2 linked regions of the Ovis aries genome follow. The protein of the gene in region 1 purifies or fractionates together with the protein of each later gene. This does not show direct contact. Links are inferred from orthologs where the notes say so. Each region holds a gene or a part of one and is shown on either strand. Other genes may lie near its edges. The genes, in order: ASXL1 and OGT.

Region 1 (8,056 bases):
ACACCTATGCCCATTCATTTGTGCATTACCTGTGGCTGCTTTCCCACTTCAACAGTAAAGTTGAATAGTTATGATAGAGACAGTGTGGCCCACAAAACATAAAATATTATCTGGTCATTCACAGAAAAAAATTTGCCTACTCCTTCACTCTGCTGCTGCTGCTAAGTCGCTTCAGCCGTGTCCGACTCTGTGCGACCCCATAGATGGCAGCCCACCAGGCTCCGCCACCCCTGGGATTCTCCAGGCAAGAACACTGGAGTGGGTTGCCATTTCCTTCTCCAATGCATGAAAAGTGAAAGTGAAGTCACTGAGTCGTGTCCAACTCTCAGCAACCCCATGGACTGCAGACCACCAGGCTCCTCCATCCATGGGATTTTCTAGGCAAGAGTACTGGAGTACGGTGCCACTGCCTTCTCCATCAGTTCGCTCTACTTAAGCTTTATTGTGAATTCTACCTGATTTCTCTCCAATAGTAATTAGTGTCACTTGTTAAATGCTAACGAGTTTTTTAATTTCCACAAGTATTTTCAAATTTCAGTTATTTTCCATAGAGTAGGTCTTACTCAGCTGTCCGGCAATTTATCCTTCACAACATTATTATAAACAAATTCATAATTAAGCACATTTGCAATTACCCACACACATACTTATCCCTCTATTGCATATAATCTGCAAAGATATAGACAAGGAAAAACATTACAGACACAATAGCTGATATGACTAAATATTTAATAATTCCTAATACCCTGTTCACACTAGATCGTCTCTCAAGGTGCCATTTCAGAACAACAGCAGCATCCCTCACCTGCCTATTATAAATGCAAATTTGTGGGCTTCATTCCAGACCTACCAGGTAATCCTTATGAACACTAAAATTTCAAGAACCACTGCACTAAAGGAGAATTTACATGACTTACCTTGAGTGTAAAAAGGCTGATTCGGCCAGGTAGTTTATAAAATAACCCCTCTCCTCCTCTGGAATTGGAATGTAGCATGGCATTAAGACATGCGAGAGGGGATGTCCCACTGTAAAAACATACAAGGATGGAAAAAGGTCATACAAACCAAGATATCTACTTACTCAAAGATCTCTTACACTTCAACTCATTATTAAATCAAGAAGAACAGGAAGAAATATAAAACATCCCATGACAAGAATTCTGTTCTGAAAGTGGCAAAGGAGTAGCACATGAAATTCACATAAATCACACCTAGAGAGCTCTGGGATAACAGGTTATGTGGTATCTCTACTCCACATCTGATGATTCTTGAGTGCCTTTTGCCAATATGAACCAAACTCTCAAGAAATTTAGAAACACTGCACAGATTTTTCAGGAACACTCAGGAGTTTTGGAAAAAAAAAATTACCCAATATTTTTATTTACTCAAAATTTTTTAAATTAAATTTTAATGCTAATTAGAAACAAAACCAGGGTTCCCTAGCCTCTATCTTTCAACCTGCACATCATGCTCAGAAACTGCCACATAACATTTTTAACACAAAGACCAGGCATCAGTGATGCTGTCCTGAGAAAATAAACATACTTTTTTTTTCCAGTTAAATTATTTTTCAATACACACACAAAAGGAATAGCATTTCATTTGCTTTTTCTCAGTTGGGAAGGGGGAAAGATGCATTTTATTTTGTATCTACCCAGGAGCAATTCTTTAAATTTGAATTAAAAAAGTCAAACAGACTTAGTATGCAATAATATAATGTTCAACCATTAAACCAAAAACAAAGAGATAGCATCTTAAGTTGTTTCACAGTTCCTGCTACAACAGAAGGTTGCAAAACAATGACAACTCGAGTGAGTTAGAGACTACTTATTCAGTCTCAAAAAGAGACATTGTCAAAAATACAGACAAATGCCCATTATTAACTGAGTTTGGCACTAGCATGTTAGTACTAGGGTTTACCTGTGCACCTTCTTGTCCCTCTCTCCAGCAAGATATATAAATATCAATATCTTAAGTAATGCCTCTCAGCATTTTTCAAAATTAGAGGCCCTAATTTTTGTCACGTTAAAAATAAATTTTGAGTCTAAAAAAGTCATCAAAAAAAAAACTATTACTTATTCGGCTTTGGAACACCCTACACGCCTAAGAAAAAAAAAATTTCACCAAGGACCAATCTCTATAAGAAACCTTGTGCAGAATCTGGAGTGTCAAGTGGGTGTGCTAACATCTCTGCTACAGGGGAAAGCATGCTGGCAGAGTCTTTCTTCCAACAGCGTGACTCCTACACACTATCCCTCTGTCTACAAATTATAGAGCTGCTCACTCATCACGAGCCACCATGACCACTTCATAATTCCTGTAAGAGCCAGAAGCAGAAACAAGTTAGGTTCTCAATTCCATCTGTCCTAAAAGGACTAATTTACCTTCTATAGGCATAGTGGTCCACCAGCAGTGCAGACAGCGGCGCGATGGGAAATAGCCCATAAAAACAAAATAAAACAAAAGACGCAATTAAACCACCACACCGTGCATAGGTAGTATTTACATGAAGCACCAGAACATGATCCAGACAATCCCGACCTTCCCTCCCCACAAATGTCAGTTTGAGAATGTGTGAACTGACAACTGGAAAGTGAGGATCTTTTGATCCTAAAAGATCAATTTAAGTAGCTAAAGCTTAACCAGCAAAATATATGCTGATTGTTCTGAATCCCAAGAAGGAACTGTGTTGTGCTCTCCTCTCCCACTTAAATTTTGAAAAAAAGGTTGGGGTGAGCAGAGAAAGGATTCAGGACAGTCCCTGGTTTTTATTTGTGCCTGCAATTCTTTTTGTGTTTCCAATTTGTTGCTTCTCTAGGAAAAATATAGGATAAGAAAATCAAGGTCATCACCAAATTTAGCATGCTCATAGCAGGATAGGCTAGAATCAGTAGGGGAAAAAAATCAGTAAGTTTTATGATTGGATCACCCTTCTCTGAGCCTAAAAACAAAGAACTTCAGAGATATGGTACAGAGAGAAGGATAGTTTTAGACATGATGGAGCAGATCAGTCTATTCCTTCTCTACTACTGACACGTGCAAAACGGAATACAAGAGAAAACACGCTGACTCCTTATGCAAAAAACAAGCTCCACGGTGAAAGGCATAGTAGAGCAAGGACGGGGAACCTGCTGCACCTCTGATGAAAACCAACAGAATTGCAGCCACTCCCGCCCTCCAGCCAGAGGACCAAAGACACCGAGACAGCTCCACACTACCATCAAACACGTGTGTGTGTATGTGTGCACACATATATGCATTTGTGGACTTTCTCATTCACTACCTAACTGCAGGAAGACACATGTTCTCTAAAACCCTCACATTAAGCAACAAGAGCCATACAAACCTCATTTCCTTTAGTCCTTCTGCCTCTATGACCTGCAGAATCTGTTTGGGTGTCATTGGAGCATCCGAATAGTTTTCCAGTACCTGAAGAAATATAAATGTTCTGATTTCAGTGTGCAGTTCCCATTTATATCCATTACTATACAACATGGGCTACAATTCTGCTATGAGGTACCACTGCTGACATCTTAGTTTTTCCACAGTCAAAATTACTTCTGAAACCAAATTACACATATATCTAACTAGTTGCTGAAAGTGACTGCAATTAGAAGAAATACTCTAATTTTCAATTCTGAAAATACACATCCTCTCAGCATCCATGTTCTGGTATGTGGGGCCTTCCCAACTTTAATTGCCACTTAACCTGATGCTGTTAATACAGCTAAACTAGAGAATACATAGCACTATAAACTGTAAGACAGAACTGCATTCAGGCTTTCCTTCCCAAGTAAGTTTGATTAGTTACAATATTTTTATCTTTTTTTGTGTGGGGGGAGGGGGGAGGGGGGAGGGAGCGGCGGCTTGGCTTGCAGGATTAGTTCCCCAACTAGGGATTGAACTGGACACTCAGCAGTGAAAGGATGTAGCCCTAACCACCAGACGGGCAGGGAATTCCAGGTACCTGTATTTTTTCAATGATGACTTTCGCCACTGGGTTGTGGCATTCTGGTGTTAATTAGTACAGGACAATTTGCCTTTCAGCAATACAATGCTACGATTCTATATGATTGGTGCAAGCAAAACAAGGAGAAATGGAACATCCCATTTATATTAGTGACATCTATAATTAAGCCCCAGCAACAATGTCTTAGTGAGCAACCAGTGCTCTCTCACTTGAACAAGCTGAGTTGTTTTAGAAATGTTATCCTTTTCAGAAAGGAAAAAAGACAGGCTGTCAGTATCTCTGTACCATCTCTAGCAGTACAGCTGCTGAGGTTACGCCAAACCACACCAACATCTTACAGTCATTTAACAGCCCTAACAAAGTACTGCATGGCTGTGTCACAGATAAAATGCAAAGCAAGAAGCCTAACAGGACTGCTGTGAAGGTTCTCTCCGTGGAAGAACAAGAGTTCTAAGTGATAAAGAAGTCAAGTTTTGGAGAAGCAGGTGCTGAAATAAAACCCCTATTTCCTATGGTCCCATTCTTAATCTCTCTGTTCAGTGTTTACATTCTCCTTGGGTATCATTATCATCTCTCACAGTTTCAACGCTACCAAAATACTGAATTAACTCCCAAATCTCAACCTTTTGCCTGGATTTCTCCCTAAGCTTCAGGCCGCAGATATTCAGTTCGGTACTGGACATCCCTCATGATCATCTTCTCTCTTCTGATATTCCTCTCCTTGGTTGGCAGTCTGTCTCATCACCTAATTTAAAACCAAGGCATCATCCTTCACTCTCACCTGTCCCCCAGTTCTCCCAGCCAGTTTCTTTCCTTTAAAAGAAAATTTTTTTTATTTAATTTATTTGGCTGCACCAAGTCTTAGTAGCAGCACTCTAGATCTTGAGTTGCAGCACGCAAACTCTTAACTGCACCATGTGTGATCAAGTTCCCTAACCAGGAGCCGAAACTGGGCCGCCTACACTGCGAGTACGAGGTCTTGGAGCCACTGGTCACCAGGGAAGTTCCCCCACAGCCAGTGTCTGACCCAACTTGACACAACAGCCTCTTCTCTAACATCCCTGCTTTCCTCAAATTCATTCTTACTCCGCTGCCATCCTTCATTCAACAAATACATGAAATACTCTGTGCTAGGAATAATTTTAGACATTCATCAGTAAAAAAGACCAAAGCTCAGCAGAGCTTAACCTGCTATAGCCTGAGGTCAGTCCAACAAAATAAACCTGCCCTCACCACTTTCTGCATTAAAGTCCTTCGACAGCAACCTATTTCCATACAGCGGAAGCTGAAGCTCCAGAGAGGCCACTGGCCCACTAGAAAAGCACGGGTTTTAAAAGCAAACAGACGTGGTTTTAAACATTCAAATTCTGGTCTTCTAAACCTGGGCAAAGAGTTGTGTTGCAAAGAGTTGGACACAACTTGGCGACTGAACAACAAAAAAACCTGGGCAAGTTACCTACCCGCCCTGAGTCTAGGTTTCCTCACTTGTGAAGGAAGGATACTGAGGCCTTCTTCTCAGAGTTGTTGCAGAGATAATGGAGTAAGTGCCTATGGTGCCAGACACAAGGTGTGTGCTGGCCAGGCATGCCAGACCCTCACAATCTGGTCTCTGCCTGGCTCTCTGATACTCCACAAACTTTATGTTCCAATAACTACGTGCAGGTCTACCCAATTCCCACACTCTCCACCCTGCAGATAAATACACACATACACACACTCTCCTATTTTTTGTTGCCAACTCCTGCTTATGTCCTCTGTGAGGAGTCTAACTCCTACTCACCCTTCAAGATTCAGTTCGGAAAGCACCTTCCTCCAGGAAGCCTTCTCTACTCTCTGCCAGATAGTTAAGCGTCTTTTTTCAGTGCCCCATAGTTGCACAACACATATAATTCATCTTCCAAAGCAGGACACTTGAGAATAAAAGGAGGAACTACTCATAATTATGCCTAGACAGTAAGCAGAAATCAGGATGTCTATTACCATTTATACATCTATGCTGGCACTTACCATGCTTGTAATGAAATTCTACTCACCTGTTAGAGAAGGACTCTAACCCCAGAAAAACCATAAGCTCCTCAAGGGCAGACCATATCCATTTCTGTAATTCCAAGAACCTAACTGCCAAGTTAAGCAGCACTGATGAACAAACCCACAATACAAACTACTAATGTTCACTGCCACAGATATGACTTCTTTGATACTAATTGTGAGCTGAGCTAGTGAATTTTTTCACAGTAATTTTTTGTTTTTTAAGAAGCAAGACTCAAAAATTAGTTACCAATTATTTAAACAGCAGTCAGGAAGAGCCTGAGAATCTTAAGACAGAGGAAACAGAATCTCTATAGGGAAGTTACATCAAAAGATACAAGGTATTCACTTTTATTAAAACTGTATATGCCTTCAGCTTTTAGTGTAAGAACAATTCAGCAGTGTTCTCTCCCCACCCTGTCTTTCTACAGCATACAAAAAGTATCTCTTCTCCAACTTCAAAGGGGGAAAAAATGTTTGATGTAAGAATGGTCAGTCATGAATCAAAGTGAAAGATAAAGCATGCAATGAAGAGTTTCTCAAAGCCAGGGAGAATCCATTTAAGGGCATTCAATCTAAAGGGAAATCCACTCAGCTATTTCTCCCAAACTGTTTCTAACAAGCAGGAGGATTTAGACCCACCCAACCACCTAAAGTCTACTTTCTACATCTAGGAAAAACAATACCAGCAGGTGTTATAAAGAAGAATATCTACTTCTCAACAACATAATTAACAGCTGCAAAAATCAATCTCCTGGGATTTACTACATTACTGAAATAGTCCATAAGTCTCTTCTTTCCTATCAGAATAGCTTAAAAACGGTTCCTGGTATCATTTTAACCACCAAACTGAGCAAGGTCGGGAGCAATATGAAACTGCCCCCAAGCAAGTGCATCTTGATTGCCACAGCAAGCACTCCAAATTCACCTGTCCAAAGAGTACTTAGAACTAACCTACCCTCCTACCATTACAACTCACTCTTCTCTCTATCCAGTGTAAGCACTCACAAACTCTCCAGCACTTGGTTTGTTAAAGCAATTTTTTTTTTCCATATGAGCAGAGAATTCTTAAGAGCTCCCCCTCACCCACCAACTGGTCCATCCAAAGGGACAGAAAATCCTAAACAAAAAACAATAGAAGATATACAAAACTATACACTATATTCCCACAAGTCATCTTGCAAGAGTTTAAGAGCATAAAGTAATTCCCAGTAGGAAATACTATTTTTTAATGAAGAATCATAAAAGAAAAAGAATTTACTGGGGACAAACTGAGCCATGATAAAACAGAAATAGCAACCTGGAACTGGATTGTAGATCACAGTAAACTCAAGACTATAAAGAGACATAATAGTGGACCCCTGAATTCCCAGAGTCTTTCAACTAGGAAGAGCCAACGGAGCTTTAAGACAGGCAGACTTTAGAATTCTGTCAGGACATAAATAAGAAAGGATTTAAAGGTACTTTCACCTACCTCTAACAAGTAAAAACTCTGGCAAGCAAATTTCCTTTTGGTGCCCAGAGTCATAAACACCTGCAGAACAGAAACTCAGAGGAGAATTTCAATGAACAGCCTCAACCTCCAGGAGAAAGCAAGCACATCCTTCTGGCTCTCACTACTCTCCTCTAGGCCTAAATCTGTTTCCAGGTGAAGCAATCCTGGAGAAATCTGAAACTTCCAAGAGATTCTGAAAGCTAACCAAAGGTTCCAAATTTGACTGCATCCAAAAAACATACTTAAGTACTTCAAAATCTTCAAATTTCATATGCCAAACCAAAACAAAGTAACTGAAGCACAAAACTTCAACATACAAACTAATTGCTACTTCCCTTTCTTGGGCAAAAAAGGTATGAGAAAGATAATCAGGTACACCAGTGAAATTTCTCCTACACACCAAACAGCATTCCCTCTTTTAAGTCAGTAACTGAGTTTTAAGGCTCCAAGAAAGAAGAGTGTACCACAGATTTGTAAAAACCTCCAACACATATTCATCTTTTTTGCTCAACACCTCTGAGGCAGGAACCTCACTTCCCAATAAAATTAAAGATTAGAAGGCT
Region 2 (7,930 bases), on another chromosome or scaffold:
CATCATAATGATTTAATGATGGCATTTGCAGCTTGAACTACATATGCACCTCCTACCGCAACATATACACTATTATCTCTGAACACTTCTGTCCCTCAAGGTGACACATCTTACAAAGGTGAGACTGGATGCTCAGATGTAGACCAAGAATAATTTATTACCTGAAAAAGAGTTCTAAAAAAGCAGCCGACGTAGGTGGAAAAATCTAGAAAAGGTTCCTAGTTATACCAATAATACAACCACCACCACAAAAGAAGGGAAGAAAACTGGCAGCTGGGCCTATCACAAGTGGGCAAGAGAGCAGATGTGCGTTGGTGGCTCCAGGTGAAACCCAGAACTGGAAAAATTTCAAGTTCAGATATTTAAGTAACATTTTTCAAGCTCAGCACTCAGAGGCAGCAATCACCAGCATCACCCCCACATCTCCTACCTGTCCAGCCTTCGACACTGGAAGTGTATAGATGAAAGTAATAAAAGCACACCAGTATTGTCTGGCTCTTGTCTCCAGAGCTGCATGCAGTGTCTCTCAGCTGCCTCAAAATCTCCTGCCTGATATTCACGATGTGCCAACTCAGCTAACCCTTGGAAGGAAAGCATACGTTTCGTTGGTTCTGGAGAATCATCAAAACATTTGAGGGAAGGAGGGGGGAAAACAAAAAGTTAGAAATGCAAACAAAAAAATGTAAAAATATGGTATATTAAACTTAAAGATGAAAACGCTTGAAACTATGTAAAGCACTAGAATGTTCTGCACATTATCGATACCCCCAAGTTAACATCAGGTGCAGAATTGGCATTTTTAGAATTCCCCGCCTACACAGAAATATTTACTTGCAAATGAGATATTTTATGACCAAAAATACTTGGTATTTTAAAATACAAATCAGATGTAGCATCTAAAGATTCACTACTAAACACTCCTTATACTTCAGTTAATATAGAGAAACGAAATATAAAACATGTGATTTGCGAGGTCACATAGATGTAATAATGTCAGAATAACCTACTGGGAAACTTAATACTTTGTCCCATGTTTTAGGTTGGATTGGGGGGGGGGTACTGGTAACAATCTACCTCTTAACCTGGGTGGGGACACCAGATGTGTGGTTAACTCTTCAAATTATATTCATGCTTTTTTATTATTTCACAACTTAATTTTTAAATTATTTTAAGGGTGACACTAGAAACAGGCATAAGGGGAAAAAACTAAAAGTCAAGGTGCTATTTTTAAAACAGCTGATAAACAAGATGAATTCATCTGTCAAGAGCCAAAATATTTAAAGGGGTCAAACATTTTAAATCAAAATCCAAGATTATATTATATTGCTCCTGTAACCATTCCAAACTCACACTGAGACCAAATTAGCTAAATCCCACCCACGATGGTTTAACACTAGCATTTTCTAAAGAGCTCTGATACTGACTAAAAGGACTAAAACACTGCAAACAACCCTGTATAAACCTACAACTGCAATGAATTTTTTAAAGAATGGAGAAATGCTAAAATATAAAACCATTCAATAAAGTGCAACTAAATTAATAATAAATGAATGTACTTTGCTGTGTGTAACTTTGTTCAGATACAAAAAGATAAAGAATATACAGCTAAAGCCCAGAGATGGAAAACAACAACAAGCTGCCTAAGTCTCAAGTGTAAATACTTTAACAATGATACATTACTTGGGAATTTGACCACAGTACTTCCAGGAGACAGAGTAAGAAACTTTCTACAAATTAAATACTTAAATTCTACCAAGCTCCAAGTGAGAAGCTAATATTGAGCCTAGACCCTCAATCATTAGACCTGGCAAATGAACTGTATACTCAGGAAAGTAAAGTAAATTTCCTAACAAGGCACAGCTAGCTGACCACTAACGTTAAGAGCAGAGAGACCTGCATCCACATTTGTGGACGGTTATACCTCTTATGGGCTTCCCTTGTGGCTCAGCTGGTAAAGAATCTGCCTGCAATGTGGGGAACCTGGGTTCGATCCCTGGGTTGAGAAGATCCCCTGGAGAAGGGAAAGGCTACCCACTCCAGTATTCCGGCCTGGAGAATTCCAGACTGCTATTGTTTCCCAGCTCACTCTGCTTCTGTTCAATTCGGTCCCATTTATTTTGGGGCTTCCCTGATGGCTCAGATGGTAAAGCGTCTGCCTGCAATGAGGGAGACCCGGGTTCGATTCCCGGGTCGGGAAGATCCCCTGGAGAAGGAAATGGCAATCCACTCCAGCACTCTTGCCTGGAAAATCCCATGGACGGAGGAGCCTGATAGGCTACAGTCCATGGGGTCGCAAAGAGTCGGACACGACTGAGCGACTTCACTATTCACTCTATCTATTTTAAACAAGTCTCTAGAACTCCCTTCCTTGCTCCTTATTTTTAACCCATACTTTATCAACTTTTCAAAAGCCGCCTATCTGCTATTTTAACACTAGAAATGACAACTTTCTCAAATAAAATAACAGGCAGAAAAGGGCAAGCAGGGGCTTCATTGGTAGTCTAGCGGTTAAGACTATGCGCTCCCAATGCAGGGGGCACAGGTTCCATGCCTGGTCCGGGGAACTAAGATCCCGCAAGCCGCATGGTGCGGCCAAAAAAGAAAGAAAAGGGCAAGCTAGAACAAGAGAATCTAGGACAGACTCTTAAATCTTTAAAAAAAAATCCCTGAGCGAGAGGGGAACACTACCAATCTCACTACCTACAGTCAAATATAAGATACAATTGAAGATTCATCTCTTAGTGCACAATGTCCAAGAACAATAAAACCCTTGACATCTCAACTGAGAAACCAACAAAAAAATAACCTCGTGGGAAACCTTAGAACCGCAGCCCAATCCCCCCTCCCTCCCGCCCCAAACAGCCTCAATACGGAAAGGCAGCTGAAGGACACCCCTATAATTTGGAGTTTTCTTATTTTTAGTACTAAATGCTCTCAGACTAATTGTCTAAAAGGGCAACCGCCTTGCACTTGTGCAGCTACACTCCAGTTGCTTTACAAACTCTTCAAGCAGGGATGAAAACTCAAAAAAATATACCCCCTATGAATAAAGAAATACCGGGCTAAAGAATGGGGATGGAAGACCCAGAGACAGACGGCGGCGGAGGAATACAAGGACAAAGTAACACAAAGCGAGAATTGGGCGGGCAGGATGGTCAACGCCGAAGCCCCCGCACTAGAGTGGTTTCTCCCCGAGGGTAGGAAACGGACCGCAGGGCTGGCAACCACGCGAAGGAAAGGGTGTGGCTCCCCGCGGGAGCGGAGGGAGGACAGGGTGGGAAATCCAGGCTGGGGGCAGCGAGTGGAATTGGGAGATGGCAAAAGAAACCCCTGGAAATTTCCAATCGAAACCGGGGCCGCTCAACCCAAGGCACAGCACACAGGCGCTGCCAGGCGCGGTGCTGCTCAAAATCCCCTGCTGGAGAGGTTACTCGGAGCGCACCCAGGAGCTTGCGCTCGTCCTTGGGGTGATGCAAAGTGAGGATACGATTACATTGGAACGGCACCTCCGCCCTAGATTGACAGAGGACCACCAAATCGGGCTAAAGGGAGCGGGGTGGAGGGGGAAGAGAAGGGGGCGGTGAGCTGAACTGGGGAGAAAACGACTGCGAAGGAGAATGAAAGGCAGCGAGAAGGGCAGGGATTCCAATGCAGTCCATTCTGAGACAGTCTAAGCGCGCAGGTGTAGAAGGGTCCCGAGAGAGCAGAAGGCTAGAAAATGTATAGGATTACAAAGCAAGAAAGGAAGCAAAAAGCAAGCAAGCGAGAGAAAATGTTTTAGGAACGGACGACAGCAGAAAACCCAGATCAGATGCCGCTAGACGCCGAAAAGCTTAGCGATGCCACTGATGCAATGGGGATGGCCAGAGGGGAGGGAGTGATGAGAGGCAGAGGACGGCGCGAGACCCCAAGGGGGCGTCTGCCAAAGTAGAACAGACACCGGTACCTGTGCTGTCGGCCACGTTGCCCACGGAAGACGCCATCTGGAGCTTCTAGAGCGAGTGCAAGAAGGGGGTGATTGAATCCTGCAGCCGCCACTACTGGCAATAATGTTTCTAGAGGTAGGAGCACGAGGGCAGCAGCCGTACCAGTGCTTTGGCAGGCTTAAGCAGCAGCAACAGTTACAGCTTTCGAACCCTAGAACTCTGGTTGGCCATCTACCTCTCACGGTCTTGAAATGGCGGCGACGGCTCCTCGGCCGAAACAACACGGACCGGAACTACTTTCTGTTACAATCAAGTACCAGCGCGGAAGTAGCGCGGTAACCAGTGCTACCAACAAAATGACTATAATCAAAGTCAATCGCTCCTATGTAACCTTCCGCGCAGGGCCCATTGCGACAAACACGATTATGTCTAGAGCGCATGCGAGCAGCCGTGTCAGCCCGACTGGCTGTTAGGGCACTGTCTGGGACAGGAGCCACCAAGTTTTTTTTACTAGCGAAGCGGATGGTTTAAAAGAAACTATACACTTGAATGACACTTTTGCCAGTGGTATAGTCTGCTGCTGCTGCTGCTGCTGCTGCTGCTGCTGCTAAGTCGCTTCAGTCGTGTCCGACTCCGTGCGACCCCATAGACGGCAGCCCACCACGCTCCCCCGTCCCTGGGATTCTCCAGGCAAGAACACTGGAGTGGGTTGCCATTTCCTTCTCCAATGCACGAAAATGAAAAGTGAACGTGAAGTTGCTCAGTCGTGTCCGACTCCCAGCGAACCCGTGGACTGCATCCCACCAGGCTCCTCCGTCCATGGGATTTTCCAGGCAAGAGTACTGGAGTGGGTTGCCATTGCCTTCTCCATGGTATAGTCTACTACTTAGCAAAGAGCATAGATTTTAATAGGAATGCCAAAGGCGTATACAGGTTTCATCAACTTCATTCGTATAGTTGAAAGATGATGAATCAATTCTGAGCAAGTAAATCTAAATGGTTATATTTTCAAAGTCTAGAATTCAAAAGAGAGAGTTCCAATTTGAACACGTGTTAGTTCTGATTCCAGCCATTGGTTTAAGCACTTTGATTAAAAGGATTGAGTTTCTCAGGGCCAAATGAACCCAAGCATCTCAGATTTTGGCCATATAGCCCAAAAGTTCCAAATCCTCTTGGTTTCACGATAATTTTGCCCACAGTATTACGGCAAATGCTTCACAACTCAGGGACATGCTGACAGTTTGCACTGCAAAGGCAGCAGCCATAAAACTGTTAAAGATTCATATTCTTCAAAATCCATGACCCTTCCGAGTTGACTTCATTTCCACCACATTGCTTTGTGAATTGTTACAATCAGTGATACCATTTAACTCAAGGCAGCTCAACAATGATAAATTGATTCATTTGCCATCTACCTAAACCACACATCTAGAGACTAAACTGCTGCGCTTCCTTGAACAAATCAGTTCTTTATGATCCTCCTGCAGTTTCAAGTCCACTGTTCAGACGTTTTGTCACATTTAGTATTAATTTATATTGCATCTCTTGTTCCAGAAAGGATTAAAGTAGCTTGCCACATTAGCAAGAAATTACAAACCAATGAAGGCAAGAAGCTGGGGCTCTCAGAGCCTTTTTATTTCCCCAAAAATAGTCCTTGATCTAAGACAACAAGTCCGTGAGTTTATTCAAAATGTTTCTACTACCTAGTCATCTGACCACTTATTTTTTTAAAAAAACTTAGGTCCTCAAATTTTGCTTTAATTTATCTGAGACAGTTCACATACTGTTAATTATGGATATGAGTGCAGAAGAAACTTGTAATATTGATAATTTCTTCTATTACATCCATAATTAAAAGTCAGGTGCAGTGAAAAAGTTCACTGCACAAACTTTCCTGGAAATTGGGCACCAGCTTCTTCTCTTAATTTAACTGGTAAAACCTTCCCCCCACCCCACTCCCCCCGGTGCCCCACCCCTCACTACAAGTGTTTGATCTGTGGTGAATAAAATCAGCTTTTCAACTTTTATAACAGACTTCTCAAATTCCACTGGCAGATGTTTAGGCCTTCCTGAGTAGAGGGTGCTTAGCTAATTAAGTAAAATTCTTCTTCAATGCCAGGTTATGTTGCCAGCTGGGCCAGCTATTTGGCCCATCCATACTTGTGTCTAAGTTTCCTTCTCCTGAGAGAGGAATCAAGGGATGCTGCTGGGAAAAGCTGGGTGGTGGGGCTCACTGTGAATCAATAAGGAAACACCCCCCCACACCCTGTTGGAATCTCAAGAACCCCCTCCAGGTGCTTTCCAGGAGTAGCACCTGGAGGGTTTAGTTTGAAGGACTTACCAGATAAAACCATCTTCTTTGGCCAATCAAGTAACATTTACTAGAGTCTGTGCAAGGCACTGTGGGAGATGCAAAAATCAACGGGAAGATCTTTGCCCTCAAGGAAATTGAAGCCCAGGTAGTTAGACTCAGAAAGCCACTAGAGCATAAAAAAGAAGAGCATTATAAAGGTGATAAAATACATCAGTGTCTGTAAATATCTGAGAAGGGAACAGTCACTTCAGGCTGGAGAAGGGTGACAAAGAAGGCGTGACCTAGGTGTTGAAGGGGGTGCTTTTGTGTGTTCTCTTTCACACCGATTTCTGTTTAATGTTTTGTTTTGTTTTCTCCCTTTTATGGGTAGCAATTCAAAATTCAGAATCATCTAAAACAAACCAGATGCTTCTTCCACTGCAACCCCAAACTTTGCCACCTTAATAACACTGCTAATGGTGTATTAGTTTTCTGTTACTGTCTCACAAATTACCACCAACTTAGCGGCTTGAAACAAATACATATTTTGCAGCAGTTGCACCTGCGCTCGGTGAGGGAGCCTGAGACACGCTCTGGCCGCTGCCACCAAATGGTTCAATGAAGCTGGAAGAATACACAGATGTAGCACCGCAGGCTCATCAGATGTTTGCGGATACTGTTCCAGAGAGAGATCGACCTCCACCCCACCCCCCCCGGATTAGCTAACCAGTCATAAACAAAGAAAATTTGTTTAAAAACCTCCCGGAAATCGTTGAACCCGAATAAAAGGATGAAACTGATTTCATGGTAGCACAGCAACCATCACTAGCCAGTGAGTTTGGAAAACATGATTCCTTATTTGGTAGCTGCTATGGTAAAGACATGGCCAGCTGGGATATCAACAGGGAAGATGAAAAAGAACAAAATAGATCAAAGAGTGAAAGCCTAATGGGTACCTTAAAAAGGTGGCTTTCTGCAGAACAAAAGCAGAAAAGCAAGAGGATTGCACCCTCTGGGAGCTCTGCCAGATGAGGATGCAGTGTCCTCTCCTCAGCACCAGTCGTTTTTAAAGATGTGACTTCTGAAAGATCATTACTATAGTCATACCCCTTAGCCTCTTGACCAGCAAACTCTTGAGGAGGCCTGTATCAAAATGGAGGAAGTAAGATTCAAAGTCTTGGTTCATTCTTCCAATCCAGATCCAACACAGAATGATGTCTGAAAATATTTTCAGTCTTCAGATTGAAACTGTGTGCTGAGAACAAAATAATTGAAGAGTTTAGAATCTCAGAATGGAGATTTGCATCTTCCCTCAATGAACCTGTAGTTATTGGACTTATGCCTCAAGGCTGCCCTTGGGACTTCCCTCCTGGTACAGGGGCTAGGAATTTGCCTGCCAGTGCAGGGGATACAGGTTTGATCCCTGATCTGGGAAGATGTCACATGCCTCCGAGCAACTGAGCAGATGCACTTAGAGCCCTGTGGTCCTCAGCTAGAGAACCCGGGGCACAACAATGGAGGGTGGTCCGTGAAGGAAAGGCTCAAAATCCCCTCCGGGTCCTCCCCACCAGTCCATGCAAAACAAAGAACTCTCTCACTGGGAGAAAAAAAATGGACGTTCAGGTTGACTACACCCAGCTCCCAGCCCGTCCCAGCCTCTGGCAGATCTCCAAATGCCTTGCCCCAGCCGTTTAAGAGAGAACTATTCTGA

The links.
Region 2: the proteins of ASXL1 (region 1) and OGT purify together in Homo sapiens (affinity purification with mass spectrometry; 3 studies listed by BioGRID and IntAct, with this or other methods). This does not show direct contact. The link is inferred for Ovis aries from reciprocal best matches to the Homo sapiens genes ASXL1 and OGT.

Annotation. Positions count from the first base shown.
Region 1 is NC_056066.1:61,470,263-61,478,318, reverse strand, and holds the start of ASXL1 (polycomb group protein ASXL1), read right to left. Parts: upstream 4,859-8,056; 5' UTR 4,654-4,858; coding exon 4,594-4,653; intron 3,430-4,593; coding exon 3,347-3,429; intron 3,112-3,346; exon of another isoform or gene 2,388-3,111; coding exon of another isoform or gene 2,385-2,387; intron 1,027-2,384; coding exon 918-1,026; intron 1-917.
Region 2 is NC_056080.1:64,197,571-64,205,500, reverse strand, and holds the start of OGT (UDP-N-acetylglucosamine--peptide N-acetylglucosaminyltransferase 110 kDa subunit), read right to left. Parts: upstream 4,180-7,930; 5' UTR 3,984-4,179; coding exon 3,947-3,983; intron 612-3,946; coding exon 431-611; intron 1-430. UniProt on the Homo sapiens protein: Catalyzes the transfer of a single N-acetylglucosamine from UDP-GlcNAc to a serine or threonine residue in cytoplasmic and nuclear proteins resulting in their modification with a beta-linked N-acetylglucosamine (O-GlcNAc).